4 linked regions of the Schizosaccharomyces pombe genome follow. The gene in region 4 interacts genetically with the main gene of each other region. Each region holds a gene or a part of one and is shown on either strand. Other genes may lie near its edges.

The links.
Region 1: of pab1 (region 4) and ulp2, a mutation in one rescues a mutant of the other (synthetic rescue), as found in Schizosaccharomyces pombe (one study listed by BioGRID).
Region 2: of pab1 (region 4) and gad8, changing one suppresses a phenotype caused by changing the other (phenotypic suppression), as found in Schizosaccharomyces pombe (one study listed by BioGRID).
Region 3: of pab1 (region 4) and tsc1, changing one suppresses a phenotype caused by changing the other (phenotypic suppression), as found in Schizosaccharomyces pombe (one study listed by BioGRID).

What each region holds. Positions count from the first base shown.
Region 1 is NC_003424.3:1,763,222-1,769,006, reverse strand, and holds ulp2 (SUMO deconjugating cysteine peptidase Ulp2), read left to right. Parts: upstream 1-2,273; 5' UTR 2,274-2,295; coding exon 2,296-2,316; exon of another isoform or gene 2,317-2,362; coding exon 2,363-2,418; exon of another isoform or gene 2,419-2,476; coding exon 2,477-2,670; exon of another isoform or gene 2,671-2,751; intron 2,752-2,818; coding exon 2,819-3,665; intron 3,666-3,734; coding exon 3,735-3,839; intron 3,840-3,840; exon of another isoform or gene 3,841-3,893; coding exon 3,894-4,130; intron 4,131-4,214; coding exon 4,215-4,671; 3' UTR 4,672-4,774; downstream 4,775-5,785. Other genes in the region: erp2 (COPII-coated vesicle-associated protein Erp2/3/4), read right to left, coding at 588-1,220; transcription factor TFIIH complex ERCC-3 subunit Ptr8, read right to left, coding at 4,806-5,785.
Region 2 is NC_003421.2:910,803-916,639, forward strand, and holds gad8 (serine/threonine protein kinase (AGC family) Gad8), read left to right. Parts: upstream 1-1,697; 5' UTR 1,698-2,314; coding exon 2,315-2,336; intron 2,337-2,407; coding exon 2,408-4,095; 3' UTR 4,096-4,436; downstream 4,437-5,837. Other genes in the region: SPOM_SPCC24B10.06 (uncharacterized protein), read left to right, coding at 46-196, 262-457; SAGA complex subunit Ada2, read right to left, coding at 4,580-5,837. UniProt on the Schizosaccharomyces pombe protein: Involved in a signaling module for sexual development and cell growth under stressed conditions. Required for G1 arrest under nitrogen starvation and for growth at high temperature and osmolarity.
Region 3 is NC_003424.3:672,997-680,310, forward strand, and holds tsc1 (Rheb GAP, hamartin Tsc1), read right to left. Parts: upstream 5,264-7,314; 5' UTR 5,243-5,263; coding exon 2,543-5,242; 3' UTR 2,325-2,542; downstream 1-2,324. Other genes in the region: THO complex subunit Tho2, read left to right, coding at 1-2,324; G-protein-signaling regulator Rgs1, read left to right, coding at 7,180-7,314. UniProt on the Schizosaccharomyces pombe protein: Together with tsc2, required for uptake of various amino acids from the environment and for proper conjugation. Involved in induction of gene expression of permeases and genes required for meiosis upon nitrogen starvation.
Region 4 is NC_003424.3:506,121-511,878, reverse strand, and holds pab1 (serine/threonine protein phosphatase PP2A regulatory subunit B-55 Pab1), read left to right. Parts: upstream 1-1,985; 5' UTR 1,986-2,187; coding exon 2,188-2,231; intron 2,232-2,275; coding exon 2,276-2,316; intron 2,317-2,393; coding exon 2,394-3,676; intron 3,677-3,698; exon of another isoform or gene 3,699-3,719; coding exon 3,720-3,743; 3' UTR 3,744-4,357; downstream 4,358-5,758. Other genes in the region: fol3 (folylpolyglutamate synthase), read right to left, coding at 1-72; cleavage and polyadenylation specificity factor complex subunit Yth1, read left to right, coding at 543-712, 809-1,099, 1,159-1,210; yip5 (Rab GTPase-binding protein), read right to left, coding at 4,587-5,336; pfd4 (prefoldin subunit 4), read right to left, coding at 5,524-5,758. UniProt on the Schizosaccharomyces pombe protein: Phosphatase 2A affects a variety of biological processes in the cell such as transcription, cell cycle progression and cellular morphogenesis, and provides an initial identification of critical substrates for this phosphatase.

The sequences.
Region 1 (5,785 bases), 1.3 Mb from region 4:
ACGACTGCAAATTATTTTTTCGACCTTCAAAGTTTTATTACATGAGCTTTTGCGTCTTCTCCGTTTACGTTTTTTATTCATTTCTATTCCCCTTTTTTGCCCTTTTCACTTTGGTTGTACAGTTGTTCTGCTCGGTTTATATTAAAACCTTTCTTATGAACTTCAAATAGTTTAACGGCTTTCATTTCATTTTTATGCCCTTTTAGCAGTCTAATCCTTCATTTATGGCCGCTAACCCTACCCATTCTTTTTTTTTCATAGTATACAATTTTTTATACTTAAATACTCATTAAGCACATTTTTTCTTTATTTCGTTGATAGGTTGCTTAAATTTGTATGAAACACGAATACAGTTGTAAAATGCAATGAAGGAAATAATAATATTGCTTAGTGGAAAATACTTCAACTACAAGAAATTGTAATCCTTGATTTAATAAAGACGCATGTCGATTGTCTTATTTAAATCCTGGCATAATAATATAATCCTGAATAAAACAATAGAGCTATAAGCTTCGTTAAGACTGATTAAAGGCATACATAGGCATGACAGATATGAATATTGTTAGAAAGGTGACCGACTAGTCAGTTTATACACCTCTCCGACCAGATCGTTTAAAGAATGTCTTTACAATAAAGACTTGAAGAGCAGAAAGAGCGACAACCATTATAGATTCAGCAAGACTAAACCAAAAGATGCGGGCTTGAGTAGACTTTACAGTAGAATAATTACGATGCTCCCGAGTTTTGAAGTAATTTTGTACACGGTCAATTTCAGATAATGCGGTTGAGATCTCTAAAACAGTACTTTGCATGCTGTCCTTTTTGTAGTCTTTGGCTTCATCACGGGTTAATGCAGGAAGAGAAAGTTCATTTTCCATAGTGATTTCCATAGTCACAATTTTATCAGTAAACGTAGACATATGATTATCAAAACAGAATTCATATTCACCCTTTTCTTCGAGGGTGAAAAATACATCAGCCTGTCTTCTCTTTTTGCCAAGTGCAACGGTCTTCTGAGATGGTGCCTTGATCATATAATCGACATCAAAAGAACCGCCAGACTGAACAGCGTACGTGAAATGTGTTTTTTCGCCAGTGTGAAAAGAATCTAAGTAGTAACACTGCTTCTCTTGGTTTTCTAACTTGAATGTTAACTCAATAGCCGAAGCTAAGCTGGCGAGCAAAAATAGTGTTATGCCGCTTAGAGTAATTACGCGCATTTTCTATAAAGTAAGGTTAATCTTCAAAAATTTAATATAACTTTTAATTCCAATGTATCAAAACAAATTCACTTACGATATGTGAGTAGTTTTATGCTCAGCTGCAGAGTAGGCTGTTGCTACGTTGAGTGTTGACAGTGTGGAATATGCTGTATCGCAAAAGGCAAGTATCGATAGCGTTCTGGGAATATAAATTAGAGTATTAGTCTTAATAAATACTCTTAAAACAATTTTACAAATTTTTCTTCTTTTAATCATTTACAAAATTGTTTATGAAAATGAGTATAAACCCAGAATCATCAGCATACTAATAACAAATAGTAAACCTTCGAAAAATAAAAGCAGAAGTTTTTCTTCTTAATTATCAAAATAATTTGGTGGTTTTAAATGATCTAGTCCCAAACATAGTTTAGAAAGGAAATCGTTCAAAACTAACTTTCTTTACTATGATATCATATAATAAATATTCAAGTAATATTGGTATTATTATACTTCTTCATGATATTATACAAAGGTCAAACAGGTTTTCATGCGTGAATGTCCCATGCTCTTACTTGTTCTTAATGTATTGTTGTTATTTTTTTTTATAATTTACATTGATTTTAATGCGACTATGGTTGCAATTGACTAATGTATCTAATGCATTCGTAAATCAGAGATAAATACAAGTTTAAATAAACGATCTGTAAAATATATTCTAGTCAATAAAAAGAATTTAGAATAGTTTACAAAAAATCATTTTCTTGGAAGTTAACAGCAACATTTTGTTCGCTATTCGTTATTAAAAAATCAAAACAATCGTAATATGATTAATCAAAGGTTAGGAAGAAATCAGCTTAAAAAGCAACTATGCCTTTCGTTTTTTATTCATTTACATTGAGTTAAAGACACTGTTAGAGATACTTACATCCTTTGCATTGGTTGATACCCTTTATTTACATTGTTTTACCCAGATCATCTACCGCAAAATAATGAATCCTTATGTTTTATTTGGACGCGCTGTGGCTCACAAAACCTGTGCCATTGATTAAGTAGTAGGCTTCTCTATCTCGCCAAAACAGGTATGTCATGAAGAATGAGAGATTCCAAAGATGCCGTATGTTATTCTTTTTCGTTTCTTTTTCTTACTAACTATTTTTTAGCTGGATGATAAATCAGGGTCATTCACTAGTCTTCTTCCCCCGTTTGGAAAACAAAGGTTTGACTTTACCTCGTCTTTTAATTCACATTCCTATATTAATATTTTTACAATCTAGAGGTACTAGCCCAAATGATGCTATTCCTATTAAGAGCCCGCTAGAAAGGCTAGCGAATAGTGTAACATCCCCGGAAAAGCCAACGGTTCGAACTGCTATACAGAAGGATTCACCAAGGCGGAAGCAGATAGATGATGATCAAACACCTCCTAAGCACTTAAAACGCTCTTTTCAAAATGTTACAGTGGTTTCTCGTAAGTCGCAACTTTTTTGCTCTGATCCATGTGTAAAGCATGAGGAAATGCAAAATGTTTAGAACAATTCCTCTTCTTCAGTATCAATAATTGATTTTTTAAAATAAAAACTAACTTATTTTTGCCTCTTTTTGGCTACTTTGTTTAGCACGAAAAAAGAAAACAATTGATGTGGTCGAGCTGCCTTTCACAAAAGGGGGTTATGGAGGTTTTTACGATCCTAGGCCTGGGTGTTTAAAATTTACTACCCATGAAATAAATGTTTCTTACACAGATACTAGCATTCCAGTCATTCACATCCCTGTCCAATTGTTGAAGCGGTGTTGCTGGCTTCAAGGATGGAGAGACAATTTGGTGGAATCTCCAGTACATGCTATTCATTTAACCTTAAAAAATAGAGATATGAAAAGAATTACGATAGGTGATTCTGCCAGTTTATTATTTTTATACAACCCATTACATGTAGAATCCGCTAGAGCTGGCCTTGATCTTTTGGACCAATCTGACTTTTCTTTAACATCTCCTAGTTCGGCTAAAGAATTTAAACAATTATTGACTTTAAAACAATCCACGATCATCCCTCGCACTCCCCAGAAAACTGTAAGGTCAATTGTTAAACAGACCTCGTCTCCACATTCCTCAAAAATGCCTAAACATTCCCTTCCATCCTCGCCAACTCCATTTAATTCCAATTCTGGTGACTCTCTTCTTTCCAGGATTAAAAATTCGAACCAGTCATCGTCAGAGCGTCCAACGGCAAATAACGGAGCTCAAGAGCAAAATCAGTCATCAAGTTCTGCTGGAAACACTTCCAATGACTTTTCAACTTTATGTTCTCAAGGTTCTGATAAAACACTTCTGTCTGATGCATCTTGTACCACTATTCTCGTATATCCGTTTTCTGGAACAAATTCAATTGCCATTACTAATACCGACCTTACAAGACTCAATGAGGGAGAATTTTTAAACGATACTATTGTTGATTTTTATTTGAGGTAAGTTTTTTTTTTTTTTTTTTTTTTTTTTTTTTGGAATCTTCGCTTCTTTTAACCTCAAAAATTTAGATATTTATACTGTAAATTACAAACACAAAATCCTTCTTTGGCCAATGACACTCATATTTTTAACACATTTTTCTATAATCGTCTTACTTCAAAAGATAAAGATGGGTATGTAACAGGCTTTACTTCTATCAATTATTTGATCACTAATGGGTAATATAGCAAGCGGCTAGGTCATAGAGGAGTTCGAAAGTGGACTCAAAAAGTTGACCTTTTCCATAAAAAATACATTATTGTTCCTATCAATGAAACATTTCATTGGTATCTAGCTATTATCTGCAACATTGATCGATTAATGCCTGTGGACACAAAACTGGAAGAGCAGGATGAAATAGTTATGTCGTCTGTGGAACAACCGTCTGCTTCAAAGACTAGACAAGCAGAATTAACGAGCAATAGGTATGTTAAAGGTTTACAATTTTATTGATTAAAAGGAAAAATATATCATAAATCATTTGATTCAGTTTACTAAGTTAATTATAGTCCAGCAATTTTGATTTTTGATTCTTTAGCAAATCTTCATAAAGGAGCATTAAATTACTTACGTGAATATTTACTGGAAGAAGCTTTCGAAAGGAAAAATGTACATCTTAAGTCCACTGATATACGGGGGTTTCATGCAAAAGTCCCGCAACAAAGCAATTTTTCTGATTGTGGTATATATGCGTTACATTTCGTCGAACTATTTCTTGAAACTCCTGAGCAAGTGATAGCCAATACTTTAGATAAATCTCTTAGACGGACGGATGCTAAAAACTTCGACCAACAGTGGAACCTTCAAAAGATTAACACGATGAGATGCGATTTGAAGGGTTTAATTCGCCGTCTGTCAACTGAGTGGTCGTCTAACAATGAACGACAATCGCTTAGCAGCGGAAGCAACGATGAAGAAGATAAAGAAAATGATGATGATTTGGCAATATTGCCAATCACAAATTAGAATTTACAAGGGAATTAGGGAAATCATAATTTCATATTAAAACTTAACGAAAGCATTATTATCAAAAATTTTAGCGTAGAAAAATCAACAAAATTCATGTCTATATCGTGTGTATGCTAGCATGTATAACTTCGCTAGCGACGTTTAGTATACAGGTGCTTCCGAAATAAGGCATGATGTTCTTTACTGTCCTTTTTCAGCTGTTTATTAGCACTCTTGTTATATTCCACGTATGCCATATTGTCGGCACCAGCCAATGTACTTAAAGAACCACTAGAACGTTTAGCTTTCGCCGGTGCTCTAGAGAGACTTCTGGATCCAAAGCTAGTATCCTCACCGTCATCCAAATCAGCTGCTTCTTCATTTTGTAGCAATACTTCCTGCAAAAGCTCAAGTCTCTCCGCTTTGGAGGCGTAAGCCAAATTTGGCAAGTTCTCCATACCCTTTAAATTAGTGATGACTTTAAAAGCATAGCCTTGGTCAATTAAAAATGCTTGCCGTTTACTGGAATAATACATTTCCTGAGTGTCTTTAGATACCAAGCTATAGAAAAATGCGTTAAAGCCTTCATCATTTCGTCGCTTGGCACGAAGAATACGCCCCAAACGTTGAGCTTCTTGACGCCTAGAACCATAATGAGAAGAAATCTGAATCAAACAGGTTGCTTCAGGAAGATCAATAGACGTATCACCAACTTTAGAAAGGAAAATGGTATTTACAAGTTCATTATACTGGAAATTTTCCAAAATCCTCATTCTTTCCTGCTGTGGAGTTCCACCATAAATAAAATATTTGCCTAATTTTATTGCATAAGCACGCAAAGCATAGACATTGTCTGAAAAAACGATAATTTTATCACCACGTTTTTCGTGATAATCGATGAGGAATTGACAAGCCTGAAATTTTTTAGGATTCATGATATAAAGTAGCATTCTTTTTCGGGAGTTTTCTCGAAGATATTCATTATAAAACTCAGTGGTCATCGCGCACCAAACTTCGGCGCATTGAACCTTAGCGATGTGACCTTTTTGTGCCAAATCCATCCAATTTGCTTCGTACATTTTAGGCCCAATCAAAAAATTTAAATCATCAATTTTATCATCCTCACGAACTA
Region 2 (5,837 bases), on a different chromosome or scaffold from region 4:
TTTATATTTTGTGACTATGTGAAATAGCTAACTCAGTATATTTAGCTAATCGTGTTTTGCCCTCAAAAATTCCTTTGACCCCATTTGTTAAGAGGGATGATGATTCTAGTTCAACTCAGGCAAGTTACTCTACTACTGTGAGCGATGTTGTGATTGTCACCGACAAATCTTGGTCGGATGGTGTAGAAACCATTTTGTAAGTCATGCTTGTCATTTTATGGAAACTATTTGTTTGTGTAAAATTACTAATATTATTTTTAGTCCTTATAGTTACACCGAATATCAACCATCTACTACTTACACTTCTGCACCTGCCGGATCCATTGGATACGCAGCATCCATTCCCAATACAGGGCGCGAATTGATGGAGAGTGGGTCCCCTGTCCGGTTTTCCAAGAGTTCATTATTGATTGTTTCACTCTTGAGCATTGCTGCTTTTGCCGCTTTAGTCCTTTAAAAATTCAACCGGAACCTACCCCCTAACATTCACCTGAAAATTTCTCTTTAGGGATTTTCTAAACTTAGATATAGTTTTTGATTCTACTTTACTCTTTTAAAATTTTTGTTGCTACTTACACTGTCAATTCTATATCTGCGCTCGATAACCGGTTTCTTTTTTTAGGCGCTTTGGCAAACTCGTCTCATCCCTTTAAATAAAACACACAAAGGGAGCTCTCTGTGAGAAAATTCAAAACTCTGAAGAAACATCGCTTTTACTAGTGAGGAGCCTTCTAGAAGTAACTACGAAAAGAATTTGCTTTTCTCATGGGTAAGTAAGGGTTTGCCTACAGTTGAGTGAGTCATCAGTTTCAACAAATTTCGTTCTTTTCATAAATTCATTGTTCATGTTTTATTTCTGTTTTATATGTTATTTTATTTTATTTTATTTGAAAATGTTTTTTGTTTTTCAGTTCTCTTTGGATTTATATACACTTTGAAGGACTTGTACGAAGCGTCCAGTGTATTAAAAGTAGAGCATTGGTATACAAATTGCTTTTCCGTTAAATTGCTTTATCTTTTTTTTTCGCTTGTTGCACAAGGAACTGAAATTTTACAAAACGCATCGTACTTGGAAGTTGCAAAAATCTGATGGAAGGCATAAATAAATGACTTGTTTTGTAAAGAGGATATTGCAATCCTAACGGTGGTATTTACATGCTTCTATAATTATTTTAAAACAAATAAAGTTAATTGGTCTGCTAAGCTACACATACGCGTAAACGGCATTTTGCGTTTGTCCGCAGATAATTGTCAAGATAATTATTTGTATTGTTTTGCTATATACTTCGTTTTGTAAATTGATCCATTTGAGTGCTGTTTCTTGACACGTGTAGTATAAATCCTATGTTTCAATTTAGGTCACTACAAACTTGAGCAAGTTACCACTTACAAGAGTACACCAGCACTTTTAATTTCTCTATATTAATATTCCATCTTTTTGACATTACTAAGTTAACTAATTTAATAGCTGATATGTAAAACACCATTGCAAAGAACTTTTATATATAGTGCAATCGTACGAGAAAAGGGTCTATAATTTTTGATCATTATACGACAAACCTGCGTAATGTGCCGACCGTATCGGTAGCTCTCCTTATAATATTTTATCGAACTCACGTTGTTCTGCCGCAAAAAGCTGCTGTCTTGTACCACTTGTATTTTAGGAATACGGATGATCCGAGCTGGCCACATCTACTGACTGCCAATACGACCTAACAAAGGGAATATCAAACGAAAGCATTTTTGACATCAAATTTTATTTCATTGACTTTAACGTATTTAGTGCTGTCGATTGGTTTCAATTTCGTCAAAATTTCCGCGAGGTGAAGGCGACTTTGCTCAAAGTCGTAATACCAAAATCGGCTTAGAAATCGACTTTATCAACGAAGCATTCCTTTAGTAGGGATTTTGGAATAAAAGAGATTGCGATTTATTTTGAATTTTAAAATCAACACCCTTGCTTACTACTTATCGGGATTAGATTTCTTTGACGAATTTACTACTATACTGACATTACCAAACGCCTGTATCCCCTTTCGTTTATTCAAAAAAAATTGCAACTTGTGCTTACTTTTTATTTTATTTTTTTTTTGGATTTGATTTGATTGTTCGTTCGTATTCGCTTACTGGTACACTTCCCGTTTTTGTCTTCGAATTAGTCCATAAATACGTTTTTTGTTAGATTGAAGCTTTTTTGCAGCCTCGTTACCTTATTCTTTATCATTTTCGTTATATTAAAAGAAAAGATAGAGGGAAAGCGAGCTTTTAAAAATCAGTTCATTTTTTTTTTCTACTCCAAACAGACGTTACCGAAATGTCCTGGAAACTTACAAAGAGTATGTATTCCATAATACGGGTTATCACACTCTGTCTTTCTTTTTCATACTAACAGCTTTTCGCTTTTTAGAATTAAAAGAAACTCATCTAGCATCCGCTATTGGCCTGAACTCTGGCGGCTCTAGTTTTACTAGAGGTCTGAAAAACAGTACTTTATCCTCTACTTCTTCTCGTAAATCAAGTGATGAAAAATCTCGGAAAAGCTCGGAGGATAAACGGTCTCCCCAAAGTACCGTCGTGCAGCCTGGTTTATTGCAGGTCACAATTATAGAAGCTAGAAATTTAAAATTACCGTCGGGACATGTTCCTGCCAACTACGGGGTTTCCATTGACAATTCTTTACTTGCCCCTCCACTTAGTAATGGCTCGGGACACGCAAGGTCTCGTAGTCATGCTTGGTGGTTACCTTATATCGTCGTTGAATTCGACAAAAATGAAATCTTAGTAGATGCTCTAAATACTGCAAGCCTTGAAAATCCTTGCTGGGATTATCAGGCAACTTTTGACGTTTCCCGTTATTCCAAACTCTCCCTGAATATTTACCTTCGTTCTTCATCCAGCCGCTCGCGCAACGGTATGGGGAATGACGCTTTCCTAGGCGGGATTAAACTGTCGCCTTCTTTCATTGTAAACAAGCTTACAGACGAATGGGTACCCCTGCATGGGGGTAGCGGTGAACTTCGTGTTCAAATGCTTTACAAACCCAATCAAAGTACCCCTTTAACCATTGATGCATTTGAACTATTGAAAGTGGTTGGCAAAGGCTCTTTTGGAAAAGTCATGCAAGTGCGTAAGCGTGACACTTCTCGTATCTATGCTTTAAAAACTATGAAAAAAGCCCACATTGTATCTCGCAGTGAAGTAGATCACACATTGGCTGAGAGGACAGTACTTGCTCAAGTTAATAACCCTTTTATTGTTCCATTAAAGTTCTCCTTTCAATCTCCCGGTAAGCTGTATCTTGTCCTGGCCTTTGTTAACGGTGGTGAGTTATTTCATCACTTACAAAGAGAAGGCTGTTTTGATACATATCGTGCCAAATTTTACATTGCTGAACTACTTGTTGCTTTGGAATGTTTGCATGAGTTCAACGTTATTTATCGAGACTTAAAACCGGAAAACATATTATTAGACTACACCGGTCATATTGCTTTGTGTGATTTTGGACTTTGTAAGCTAAACATGGCTAAAACCGATAGAACGAATACTTTTTGTGGCACCCCTGAATACCTCGCTCCTGAATTGCTTTTGGGTCATGGTTATACAAAAGTTGTTGACTGGTGGACTTTAGGTGTGCTACTTTACGAAATGATTACAGGACTTCCTCCTTTTTATGATGAAAATATAAACGAAATGTACCGAAAAATTCTTCAAGATCCCTTGCGATTCCCAGACAACATTGACGAGAAAGCAAAAGATTTATTGAGTGGATTGTTGACCCGCGCTCCAGAGAAGCGGCTGGGTAGTGGAGGGGCGCAAGAAATAAAAAATCACCCTTTCTTTGATGATATCGACTGGAAAAAGTTATGCGCCAAGAAGATACAGCCACCCTTTAAACCAAGCGTTGAATCAGCTATCGATACTAGTAATTTTGATTCTGAATTTACATCGGAAATCCCAATGGATAGTGTTGTTGCCGATTCTCACTTATCTGAAACCGTTCAACAAAGGTTTGCCAATTGGAGCTATCAACGACCAACAACCATTGATACATCCGACGACATTAATACAATAGCACCTGGAAGTGTCATTAGGTGATGAATTTGACACTTCTTTGTTTATTTTGAAAGTTTTCTCATTTTTACTCATACATGCCGCTTTTCTTGCCTCTTTTACATATTTGTATGTTATAAAGGCCAAAGCTTCGTTCATTTCTCATTATTGTCATCTTTTTTTGTCGTACAAGATCATTTTCTATTACTATTATTATTATCATTATTATTATTATTATTACTGACAACCTCAAGTCTTTGAAGATTATTTATTTTTTGTCAGCTGAGAAAAAGTCTCAGATATTGTTGGATGTAGTGTTTTTTGTTCTTGTAGTTTCCGAAATTACTAGTGTAGAAAATTGATGGAAAACTCTTTTTAATTATTAAGCATAAGAACGTAACGGCTATTGAAAAGGGAAAAAAAGACGGAGATGTAATTAAAGGTGAAGGGGTAATTAGTAAAATTACATTTCAAAACGTAAAGGTAATAAACAAGAGTAATATGAAAAAGGTAAAAGAAACCAGTACTTTTAGGTTGGAGCGCCAATCCACCGAGCATTATGGAAGAAGTCGTACACCTGTTCGACTTTATTAGCGTCTAAGTGTTTAAATAAATTAACTGCATCGGTTTTTTGAAATGGTTTTTTGGAAGTCAGTGAAGCCGATATTAAGGCAAATTTTAGAGCCAAAAATGGTTTAGGGAAAATCTGCAGTTTTGAGCAAAGCGCTTGCTCATCCTCTGAAAGCAGTTGCCGATCAGCGGAAGCAGAAAACATTGTGGGAGTCGCTGGTTTTCGAGGAACAATCTTTTGAATGTCACGAACTTGAAAAGGAGCGGAAGTGGTTTGGTTAAACGACTTAACATGCCTCAATTGCTTATCATATGAAGCAGAAGCTTTACTTAAGAGGAATTTTTGCGTTTTATCGCGTTCATATTTATGTCCTTGTTCGAGTGTAGTAAGACCCATCTGTCGCCATTCCTGTAAATCAGAAATTTGTTTTTTTAGGGTTATTTGCTCGTGATAGCTGTTCACGAACTTTTGGTAATCAGGGCCCGTCAAAAGTCGAGCAAATGCTTTTGTTTTATTAAGTAAGTTTCGTTCCTCTTTTGACATGCGCTTCTCATTCGCCTGTAGCCGTCGATAATCTAAAAGGTTGTGATTGAAAATGGTTTGTTTACGAACAGCCCGACGAGTAAGACGGGAATTATATATGTTAAGCATAGTCAGCTTAAGTTGCATTTCATGCTTTGCTGACTCGTGTAAATCGTCATCAAAATTCATATCCTTTATGGGCAGTTCAGCTTCGTTCATGTACTCTTGATCAAATTCAAGACGGCCCGGCATATAGCCTTGGATTTCGTGGCATTGGGGTGTAGATGCTAGAGGCTTTTGAGGAATAATCGGTGGAGGCTGAAAAGCTTCAATACGAGCTCGTTTCCGTGCCGCAAATGCTATGCGATCCACCGGTCCAGGGAGCTCTACGCTTGCTAATGGATAGCAATCCGACTCAATATAGGTTTTCAGATAATGATCCCGACATTCTTCTTTCGTCCGAGCATTTCCCACATAGTCTGCAATGTCAGCCCAGTTTCCAAGGCCCAGTGTTTCACAAGCATCGATTAGTAAGAGTTCCTCATCAGCACCCCAATTTTCGTCGAAAATAGGGTATGAATTGGTTTCAATAATCCTATACGGATGAGACGGATGGTGAGTTCCTAGGGAGGCACCAGATGTAAAGCAGGGGATGCACAAATCGAAGTCAACACATTCTACGCACCGAATATGA
Region 3 (7,314 bases), 170 kb from region 4:
TTACTGATGAAAACTCTCATTTAAAACTTATTTCTTCTCTTCAAGACGAATGCTCTGATGTTCTTTATCTTTTAATGGAATTTCTTAATATGGTTTGCTCTCCAAAGAGCTATTATAAATTGATTCCTTCATTTGAGCAATTAATTCAAGATTTTCATATTCAACCTCAGGTTGCATTTTATCTATCGCGTTACAAAAATTTAGATCACAGTTTGACTGGTTCAAATACTGAGGATGCAATGGATATTGATTATGAAAATACTTCATCTCCAAACACTGCTAGCAACCCCGTTTGGAGTATTGACAATTCTGTCATAACTGAGTTATTACCTAAACAAATTTGGGATTATTTTTCACCTAATTTTTATTTAACATTTTGGAAGCTATCGCTGTATGATGTTTTTGTTCCCTTGGAACGTTATGAGTTTGAGCGTTCTCGGGCTTTTGATCAAATTAGGCAAACTGACGCCGCTAACACATTTTATTCACGACATCGACACGACCGACAAAAAATAATGCAATTGTCTAACAGCTTACAGAATGAACTTAAAGAACACATTAATTCACTTGAGAGTGTAAGAAAAGTTTTGCAAGGTGACTGCGTGAAATGGTTTATTCCAAATGGTGTTTTTCCTAATGGTACAAGACTTGAGCATGCTAGATTCAACTGTGCTCGGTATTTGTGGACACTCTGCATTGCTCCCCGTTTAAAAATGAGCCCACATGATGCTTTGTACTGCGCAAAGTTTGTAAAGCTTTTGCACAGTCTTGGAACACCAAACTTTTCAACTATGTCATTTTTAGAAATTTTGTTTAATTCACAATTGCCTTCATTTATTTTTTCAATGACACAACGAGAGGCTGATAATTTTGGAAGATTTTTATACGAAGTACTCTATGATATTACTAGCTGGTACAGGGACAAAATTCTTTACGAACGCGAATGTTTGGCAAATGGTGCTTTGCCTGGGTTCAGGTTATATTGGTCTGACGAACAAAATGATCCCGATCTTTCCGCTGTCCTTCCTTATAACAAATTTGTTTTGCTATTTAGTAAATGGCACAAATATCTAACATCTTATTTTGAGTCATGCTTACTATCTACTGAATATATGCATATCTACAATAGTGTCATAATCTTGGAAAAAATTTTGCCATGTTTCCCATTGATAATTGAAAGTGGCAGTGCTTTGAAACGAGCCGCTGAACGATTAAAGGACGAAGAAAAACGAGAAGATTTAAAGGTTTTGGCTTTGGGGTATTTTGCAAAGCTCTCAAAAAAGCAACCAGAATGGGTTTCTTTTAATTCATTTTCTGGTACTGTAAGGCCGAGTAATTCAGAAAAGCTTCAGAGACCGCAACAACTTTCAGTGGCAGCTACATCAGCAGTTGATTCCAAAACTGCTTCCATATCGGAAGAACAGGCAAAGATTGATAAACAGAAAGTAGCTTTGAATCCTAGTGCACCAGAGTTTGTACCTGATAGTACGCCTTCCGACGCAGTTGCTTCTGAAACTGACAATAAAAATCTTGTTGAGAACAAGGCAGTAGAGAAAAGGGTTGAAGCTAGAAGCTCAGCTAATGAAAGAAAACAAGAAGAAAGACGTAGAAAAACAACTCCTGAAGGAAACAGACGTGCTTTACGAACACGCACCCCTACGAATGAGGATATACAAAGATCAGACAGTAAATTGCGAGAGGATCAGTCTAGAGACCGAACACCTCAATCAAGAAGTTTTACAAATGAAAACAACGATAATTTAAGGAGCGTGTCTCGTCATACTCGACGCGAGCCTCAGCAAGCACAAAACCTAAATGCTAGGCGTGAACATGAATCACAGAAATCTGACAGATGGCGCCAAAATGGAAACGTAAATCGCAACCCTCGAGTGTCTAATAACAATAGCACTAATGTTTCAAGAGAGCGCTCGTCTGAAGCTAATCATAGGACAAGCAACGATAATAAACGTGATGAGGTTACAGAAGGGAAAGATAAAAACAAAAGGCAAGATATTTCTGGCGAGAGTAATTCTCGGCAGAATAATGCTATTAGTCGGGCTGGAAGAAGTAATGGATCTAATAGGGGAAATGATTCCAGAGATGCAGATGGTCGTCGTAGCACTCATTATGCTTCAAATAAACGTCCCCGATCTTCGGATAGTCAAAGCCCGAGCAACCTACGAGAGGAAGATGAAAGAGAAAATTCTCGTCGTAGGGCCAGGCAAGACGACCGAAGGGATCGGGATTCACGACAGCAAAGAGATCGTCCACGGGATAGAACATCTCGATCTGCTCGAGAAGAGAAAAGAAGAAAAATTCAATGATCCACGTTTCAAGCTTTAACTAGATGTCAGCTTTTTTTTCTTATCTAACTAAATTTGTAATTACAAGGAAATAATGAAAAATCTTTATATAAGGAGATTCATACACAGAATTATGATGGTCGTGAAAAATCGTAATCTAATTATTTTATATGGAATGAGCAAGTATGTTTTATCATAATTGACCAGTTCATTTCAAGGACCTTCAAAAATATACCTACTTAGTATTGGCGAAACGTAGAACGACTTGTATCAGTAGACTGTCTACGTGGCGGGCCAACTTTAGGATGCAAAGAGTCATTACGAATTATGAACTTGCTTTGTTGCAAACCAGGGCTACTGTGTATTGAGCTTCCAGTATCAACAAGCGGTTTTTGAAAGTTTTTTAATTCTTCGACCTCAGCTTGTGATTCTAAAAACTTGCCCTCCAACTCACGGTACCGCGTTAATAGCTCATCGTAATTTTCTTTTATTTCGGATATTTTAGACAACTGAGCGTCGTAATTTAAGTTGACAGGATTATGCAACTCAGGTGCGTTCGCTTCAGATGAAAGTCGTTTTTCCAAATCAAAAATCTTAGCCTCGTAAACAACATTAATGGCTTCCAGGTCCTTTTTCAGTAGCTCAATATTAGCTTGAAGATGCAAGTTTTCTGATTCCAGTTTCATTCGATGTTTTTCTGACTCGATCAACTCTCTTTCTTGCTCATCACTAACAGCTTCACTGTTAGAGAGAATCATACTACTGTCCATCTTCGTATTTCCAAAAGAAGTATCAGAGCTCGAAGAGACTTGCTTTTTGGAGATATTAACGCAGCTCAAATGCTGTTCATATTCTTTCAACTTAGTTTCATAGAGTTGAAGCTTCAACTCCAGTTGATTTTTTGAAAACGCAATGTCAATTTGAGAATTTCGTATTGATTCCAATTGCGAGATTAATGATTCAATTGATGATTTGAGTTCTGATTCTTCACTTTTCCAAGCTTTCTTTTCTTCTCGTAACGCTTTTATTTTGTTGTTAAAATCATTTTCCCACTTAACCCTACGATTTAGAGCTGCCTGTGATTCTGAGCGATGTTTGTCAATTTCAGAATTCAGTAACTCTATCTGAGCTTTATATCTTTTGTTGGTTAAAAGCAATTTTTGCCTTTCTGATTCCACAGCCATATCTAGTATGTGCTCACGATGAAGCTTTCCAATATTTTGCAAGTGCTGCTGACGAACAAATTTTTCAAAACGGAGCTCATTCTGAAGAAATAGCAGATCCCTTTGTAAGCGTCGAATTGTATCGTTCGTGCTGCTCAAACTTTCACTAGTCAGTTCCAAATTATTTGAGCCGCGTTCACCTTTAACCATGTGAATTGAGGAAACACCTTCACTATATGATGTACCATGCGAAATATTATCATAAGAATCTTCAGTATTTGATAATTGGGCTTTGTCAAATGTAGTCGCGGAATGAACAGAACCCGATATTGATGGATTTTGAGGCCAAGATATGGAAAAAGGCTCAGAAGCAATATCATGGCTTTCATTTGGATAGGCCAATAATCCAGTAGCTGAACTTGTCTCTTCATAAGTGGTGGGAAGCTTACCACCAAAAGGATCCATAACACTTTCGGCTATTCCAACAGCGTTAAGACTATTACATAGGGCCACTACAGCAATAGAATCAAGTCTTGTCCAACGGGATTTATCGGTAAGTTCTGTTTCTGCTGTATATTTAAGAAAATTAGAATGTGCCAAATGTCTACCGAGAAGACCATCCGACTTTGTGGAGAGGAGTTCTTGATTAAAGGAATAACGTATTTGGAAATTATGTTTAGAAGCATACAACTTAGGATCCCGAAGAAACTCTAAAAAGTTTATAGGGTACAGAGCGTACAAAATTGAGAAAAGTTGAGAGTAGTCAAGACTTTCGAGATAATCTGGTTGAGAAGAACCAACAATATCATGAACATCATTGTAAGAGCTATCTGTTTGAGAGGTGGTAGTTGAGGCATACGTTGACATAAAATCGTGAAACACCTCCCAATTACCAGACGCAGTAGACGATGGGAAGCCAGAGGTCGGGTCAATCATTGAAAATCGAAGATAGATACAGAACAATCTATATAAGGAATCGTCTAAGGAGTTACAAATGTGAGACAGTATCATAAGGATGAAAGATAATGCATACGACAGTAAGATTGGTGAAGTATCAAATTCCGCACATTTTAAAACAAGGTCATAGAAGCCAGTCTGTGGTATTTCATATAAACGAGGACCTTGCCGCCGTATTACTTCAACCATAACTGATAAAATAGGGATTCGGGTTGGAGGATTTAAAAAATGATGACAAAAACAAGAAGAAAGTTCCTTTGGTCTCTGTATCCCATAATGGACGAGAACATTAACCAAGCATTCAATAGTTTGATTCCTTTGCTCTTGAGATTCCACGTCACCTAGATTTTCGATAGCTTTAGAAACGTAAAGGTCAACCAAACGAGTGATAGTTTCCTCAGCGCACTCCCGTCTCAAGTCTCCACCCCATTCATCCTCGTCGTGAAAAATTAAAATGTAAAATAAAATACTTTTCAAGTCACTAAATACCGGTTTCAATTGGGTAGGAGAATTCAAGAAAGGAAAAAAGATCTGGTCCCACCATTCACCAACTGCTTGGCGATCCAAAATCAACAACGGTATAACCGTTTTCAACACAGCTAGCCATAGTATCCGTCGCCTTGTATTATTGAACGGCGTCTTTTCGTAGATCTCGTCCAAGATGTGTCTTATTTTTTGTGAGTTAGTGGGGTTTTGTTTGGGATAACGCTGCTGATACGACTCAACTTCCGCAATTAACTCAGTCAAATCGGGATAGCCTTCCGATTCTTCTTCATGAAGGACGTTCCATAATGCTTTGACTAGCGATTGCAGCGGCATTCGTACAAAGTTGGCAAAGTCAACGTTGATATACAACTATGCGACATTATACTGATAGCAAGTCTTGGCAGCATTGATAAACGTAACGAGGATAGCGTAGTCTGCCACATTTTTTTAATTAGTCTTTGCATTTTCAACCAAATTATACAGCGCTATCCAAAAATCCTTTAACTAGATTACATGTCAACCATACAGGTCGTAATTCGTTTTTAAGATACGATAGTACTGCAATGATATTTTTTAGTGTAATGTACATAGTATAATAAATTTATTGTAAATAGTTATAAATATCCTAAAATACTCGTTAAGAATACCAAGAAGTATTTATAATTACACTTATATAGCTAAAAATTGAATTGAGGAACGTTGTTTTAAACAAGCTTTATTTGAAGGAATCATAAGTAGTAAAGTAAGTTGTAATTTTTATCCAAATTATGTAAACATCATCTATACCATGGTACTTGATCCATCTCCAAAATTTAAAGAATGTATTAAGTATTGATTTCTAGGACTATACAGTATAGTAGGCAGTGTTCGCATTTTCAGCACAGAGGAAATACGAAAGCAAACAATGCGAAAACACATTGAGAGTTCTCTGAATAAACATGTAAAAATAAAAAGAAAACGGTTTTACTATTAAGGATTCCTAGGGAACTTTTCTTTCAAAGGAAGTTAGAGGGCAAATAATTTGAGTCGGTCTAATATTATGGTAACATATTCAAGCACTTTTAACGACATACTCTTAACTGCTATGTTATTCCACAGTGTGTTACAGTCACTTAGAGAGAAAATATTTCATTAATAAAAAAAAACTTTTATAGGGCAGGTGTAAGAAGCGTTGCAAGGCGCAAAGTAGAAAAGAATATAGTCATGGAAAAGGGAAAGCCGGTGCTTGTAAATAATTACAAACACCAATATTTTTTAATTTATATCTTAAAGTCTTCCAAGTTGGCGATGTAAAGTTTCATAACAAAAGCCATTTCATTTTCATTGCATATTTTGGGGTCATTTCAGTACCCAATGGAACTAACAGGAGAGATGCAGTGAACAACTAAGAAGTATCAAAATATCTGTAACTGTTTATAATCCTTTTTTGCTTACTTCTTTTACTTTTTGTTTTTCCCCAGTCTCCAGGAGTGCTGGGTAAGCTTTATTTACCAACCATCTGTGAATTATCCAGCCATAGCATATCTCCTTCTACTAGTTTATATAATATTTCCTTTCAAAAAATAGGCAAGCGACTGCATATCCTTGTTTAAATGTCTTATTTTGATTCTTTTTTTATTATTATTCAATCGGTGTTATCACATGAAATTTACCGATTCATTAAAACCCCTTTCGGAATAAGTTGACGAAAGGTGGAAATTGCTACCTGTTTTCTTTGTTCTGCTTTCTCACTGTTAATTTGTTGGGGTAAACAAATCAATTGCACAATGTTCTTTGTTCCGTTAAAGTTCCCATTGTTCGCCATTTAATGATTTCTTTGTTTAAAAGAAAGCGTATAGCAATGGTTAGATGGGAAACTTCGAAGTATAAATACTAAGGCATTTCCCGAATTTTCATCAGTGTGCCTATATCGACGTTTACAAAATTGCTCCAATCCTTCATTCGATTTTAAATTTAATAGGGATCAGACCTATTGAAAACAGCTGGAGACCTGATTTAGTATCGAATTACCCGTAATTGATTATAAAAATTGACGGTAATCAAGAAAGTGGGACTATTACTATATATTTAAATTTCTTTTATCTTATTTGAGTTCTGTACTTCTCTTTTATCTTTTAAAAAAATAAAAGAAACAATATTTAACACTCCATTGTGCTTGGCTGCCCGATCTCTGTCGCTTTTTCGCTTAGCAAGATCACAATTCTTTTGTTCATCACTTTATTATTTATGATAAAAGGCTACAAATTCGTAAAAGTAAGAATCAGCTTTGGATGCCCGCCCTTCATAACCCTTCTTCACCACCGCCCAGTTATGAAGCTGTTACGTCTTATCGCAACGGAAATTCAATAGATTCCGGCGATAAACGTCAACAATGTTCTCGATTAATGAAAATTACCTCTAATGGT
Region 4 (5,758 bases):
AAACGATTCCTGTGGATTGCCAAGGTGCTTCAAGAGCTGTAGCATACGCTGAAGACCTAGCTGAATAGGCATCCTACGTGAGCGATAGTAAAGGAGGAATTTTAATGCTGTATTATTAAAAAATAATGATTCTTTACCTTTATAAGCTCGTAAAAACTTTAAAAGTACTTGGTCATGTGAATATGTTTTGCATGTGGAAGCGAAGATAATACGTTTTCTGTTGCAAATTAGTATGTTAGTAAAATTCTCAACAGAAGCAATTAGTTATGTCTCTGACGAGGTAAATTTTAGATAAAAAGAATATGTTTTATAAAAGTTATTTTATTCGTATGCTGCATAATATCATTCTTTACTTAGGTTTCAAACATACCTATGAAGAAAACCTTAAAACAATAGCGATTTCATGAATATTATAAGAATAATTTAATTCGTTCTAGTTTAATAAGCATCATTTATAGTATGTGAATGCCAGTCAATAAAGTATTTGTGATATTCAAGTCAACTGAACAACGTTGCCTCCGCCATCTACTGGTTACTACAAAATGACTGATTATATCAAAGATAAAGCTATAGCAGCTGATTTTTCTTCAGTTCAATTTCGTTTTGATAACTATTTAAAGCAAAATTTTAATTTCGGAAGGTCTGCCTTGCTAAACTCTGGAAATGGACGCGATTCTGGATCGAAAATGGGTAGCGTGGTTTGCAAGCATTGGTATGTATATATAAAGAAGAGTAATATGAATATATATTTCATGTATTTTTCTATTTGTTTTTGTTTCTACCTTCATGATAACTAATATTATATAAGGCTTCGTGGACTTTGTAAAAAAGGTGAACAGTGTGATTTTTTACACGAGTACAATTTAAAAAAGATGCCTCCATGTCACTTTTATGCAGAGCGCGGCTGGTGTTCTAATGGCGAAGAGTGTTTATATCTCCATTTGGATCCCAGTAAACAAGTTGGTGTCTGTGCCTGGTATAATATGGGATTTTGTCCTTTAGGACCTATATGTCGAGGCAAACATGTACGAAAACCAAGGCCTTGCCCAAAATATTTAGCTGGGTTTTGTCCGCTAGGCCCTAATTGCCCAGATGCTCAGTAAGTTTTTTGAAGAATTATAGTGTTGACTTTCTCTTTCTATTACTAACATGTTCTAGTCCTAAACACTCTGAACCTCCGCATCCTCCTCAAAAGCGGAAAGACTGGTAAAGGATGCGTTTTTTAATGTGTCACTGTATATTAGGTAATGAAATCAAGTTATCAATGGAGTATATGCAATTAGTGATGCCGTACATTGATTATTGAGATTTTTTTTTATGGAATAAAATTAATTATCGACGTTGGGTTTGTCTTGGTTGCGGCGAACCAAATCGACACATAATCGGGATAATAGAAGTATTTAGAAACCGAAAAATAAGTTTTAAATAATAAGTCTCCCTTTTACATATGTTTTTTGCAACATAGAAGGAAAAGAAAATTTAGGAACTTAAGTATCGTTTACCAGTATGTAAAACGCTTACGTAGAGCGCCATCGTAATGTATCAAGGACGGTTTATTCATTTAATCATTCATACGTTATTCGTAAAATATTTGCTACTTTCCAGTTATGTTTCTTATTTTTTTGTAATTTACTTATCTGCTGTATTCAATTTTGCAAACTATAAAAACAATATGGATCTTTTATATGACAATGAACTTCTAGTTTTTTATAATCAAAAACACCTTTCTTTAGCGTACAAATGATTAAGGTTTCATTAATGGGAAATTGCCAACAAGTTTTACACTGGACTTTGTAAAGTTGAGCAAAAAATCCTATGTGTAGTAAAGCGTAAGATGAACACTGAAGTAATGAAATAGTGTTGTATTTATCAAAAATCCATTAATAACTTAAAGTCGCTTAAGGCTTGATTTACCGATAAAAATTTTACTGAGCTTTTGACTCGCCGAAGAGTGGTGTAGATTCGTTAGGGTAGCAGCATTTGATACGAACCATCAAGTTAGGAAAATCAGCAGCCCTCCAAAAAAGCCAGTGAAAACTGGGAAACTTTGTATCAAAACTTTTGAAAAAAGATCCAAAGACGGTATAGAGATACCCTTAGAAATTTGAAGATCAAGATCTTCGTATACAATTGAAATTGGCAAAGTGTACCAACGGGAACGAAATCTTAATATAATACGAGTAGAAGATGGATGATATAGAAGACTCTTTGGATCAGTGGAAATTTGCCCAGTATGTAAACGATGTGTGAAAAAAATTAATGACTAACTCTTTAGATGCTTTGGTGACAAGGGTGATGTGGAAGACATCACTGAAGGTATTGGTTTTGAGTAGTTCTCTCATAAAAGAGTTCTCTTTTACTTTAATCACTGAATAAATGACTAACAAGTTTAGCCGATATCATTTCAGCAGTAGAATTCGACCACACAGGTGATTATCTAGCAACCGGCGATAAAGGTGGCAGAGTCGTTCTTTTTGAGCGAAATCATTCGAAAAAGGGTTGTGAGTATAAGTTTTTTACTGAATTTCAAAGTCATGAACCCGAGTTTGATTATCTCAAGTCCTTAGAAATCGAAGAAAAGATCAATAAAATTCGCTGGTGCAAGAGGACTAATCGAGCGCATTTTTTACTCTCAACGAATGATAAAACTATAAAATTGTGGAAACTATATGAAAAGAATTTGAAAGTCGTTGCCGAAAATAATTTGTCGGACAGTTTCCACAGTCCTATGCAAGGACCTTTGACAACACCTTCGCAACTTCGACTCCCACGACTCAACCATCATGACATGATTATCGCTGCATATCCACGACGTGTTTACGCTAATGCACACGCATATCATATTAATTCGATTAGCGTTAACTCTGATGCAGAAACTTACATTTCCGCTGATGATTTACGTATCAACTTATGGAACTTGTCCATCTCCGATCATTCATTCAACATAGTTGACATTAAACCTGAAAATATGGAAGAACTTACGGAAGTTATTACTAGTGCCGAGTTTCACCCGATAAACTGCAATCATCTCATGTATAGTAGCAGCAAGGGAAATATCAAACTCTTAGATTTGCGTCAATCTGCGCTCTGCGATAATCCATGTAAGCTTTTCGAGGATCAAGAAGATCAAGATTCCAAGAGTTTCTTTTCTGAAATCATCTCTAGCATTTCAGACGTTAAGTTCTCACAAAATGGCCGCTATATTCTTTCAAGAGATTATTTAACTCTTAAGATATGGGATGTCAACATGGAAAAAGCTCCCGTTAAAACTATTCCATTGCATGATGTTTTGCGATCAAAGTTATGCGATCTCTATGAAAATGACTGTATTTTTGATAAATTCGAGTGTACCTTTTCTGGTGACGACAAACACGTTTTATCAGGAAGTTATAGCAACAACTTTGGGATTTACCCCACAGATAGTTCTTTGCCTGGCGATAGAGGACAGATAGTTTTGCAAGCCGACAAGGCTGCATTTAGAGCCAGAAAATCTGCTGCAAATAACGTTCCAAAGTTGAATGCTGTGAAAAATAATGATTGGCGGTCACAACCTCAAGCTGCGATGGGATCTGCTTCTGTTGGCCTTGATCCTGATAACCTGGATTACAATAAGAAGATATTACATGCCAGTTGGCATCCCTTTGAAGACTCAGTTGCCATCGCCGCTACTAATAATGTACGTTTGCTTATCAACTTTTTGTTTACTAATGTTTCAATAGCTTTTTGTTTTCTCTAAGCTCTAATGTCCTTATGTGGAGTTTGGTTTGTTTTTATGATCTACGGATAGACTGAACATAGTTCCTTTTTTATTGAACTTCCGGGAATAAGAGTTTTCTTACCTTCTTCTTTCAGATTGTATTCTTATATACACACACCATTTTAACCATTAATGACAGAAATAAAGTTTTTAGGACTAATGATAAAAGGGTGCTTTGTTTATCTCCCTTCATGTATGCCGTGAATCGATACATATGTACTTTGCTATCCACAGTATTTTTCTTTTTCTCTTTTTACGTGTTCCTTTTTAATCTTGAAATTGTGGTGATGCATCGTAAATTTCAACGTTTTTTCAATATCTCACAAAGTTTTTTTCTCTTGTTGAAAAAAATCTGAATTTGAAATCGTAAAAGTACTTTTCAGGTTAAGCTTCACCATTAATTTACCTTCAGCTCTTTTTTGTTGAACAACGAGTAATAATGTGTTAAGTTTTCTATATAAATGACGGGAGATCGATTGCAAAAATATGACTAAATGTCATAAAGTCTTTGGTTCACTAAAAAGGCTACAATTATTTTTACTAAGGCATGATTCATCAATGCATAAGAAATGATTATTTATACGTATTTTGCACCTGAAAAAAAAACCTAGTAAATTGAGGGAACATTAGTAGCTATAGTAAAAAGAGTAGAAAATCAAATGTAAAGCGAATATATGTATAAACTGAATCATATAGAGTATACCAACACTTAGACTCAATAGGATCTTAAATGCTGAATGACTTTTCTAAAGAATGAAAGAAGGGGAATAGTATAATTTTCGAATGAAGCAATGCGACTGATAAAAGAAACTCCTCACAAATTAGGATATTAACTGAAGAATATGAGTTGAAGAGACAAAGCGAGCAAACAGTGAAAGACGATAATTCCGAACAATAAAAGTTTGCACAAATTTGATCCGGCTTGCTGACAGATAGGATATAAATTTCTAGTTAAAAACACAATGGAAATTAACAAACCAATCCCTGTAAGTACATATTTGACAATATGGGAGGCCAAAGTAGATAGCAATCCAAACGGAGGAGTTGCTAAAGAAACGGGAAGCCAAACAATGTTAGCATATCCATATAAACACAGACAGTCGAGTAACTTAGGGTTGCATTTGTTCCACACTAGGATACCCCATAACAAAACGGCGATAATGGTAGTGTAACCATAAATAATTGATGCTGCAGAGATCAACTTTTTTATAGAATAGCCACTTGTACCATGCCCTGTGGCATAACGAGCGTATTCGGTAATTGAGTTGGAAAAGAATAGAGCCTGTATAACCGTAGTGGTTATCCAAAAAGGACCGTATAAATCGGGACGATCATCTACAACATCAAAGAAATTTACAGTGGGAATAAGAGTATGTATACATCGTTGAACCACATCTTTAGTTTCCACGTTAAATGAATCTTTGATGGTCCATGGCGTCTCTTGCATGGATGCGCGACGAGATTGTAATCTAGGGGCCGGAGGCTTTGTAATGGGAGTTCTCTGCTTATAAAGGTCTTCAGCCTCAAATGTTGTACGACCTAGGTCAGCTTCCGAGTCAATTTCAATCTCATGTGCCATAGTGGTGGTTGGATACTTGTAATGGCTTAGGGTGAACAAAGAAGTTTACTTATTGGAGGCGCTAATTGCATACAGATTTGGTATTGTGAATAAATTTAAATGCATGAAATGTTATTTAATTAAAGAAACTAATTCAGAAAAATAAGATGAAGCTTCTAATTTTGAGATTTGCTGCTTTTTCCAAATCTTAGTCTAGGTTAATTTGATCGTGAAATTTAGAGTACAGCATTGATTTCAACTCTTGAATGCGGGTTTCGTCTTTTTCCATGGAAGATCTTAATACGTCGACTTGCTTTTCCAAACTTTCTTCTGACTGCTCAAGCTGGTCAAGGAGTACAGGAAGGGAAACTTGGAAAAAGGCATCGCCAACCTTTAAAGCTGGAATATCGTCTCCATCATCCTCGTCTAGTAATTCACATTCA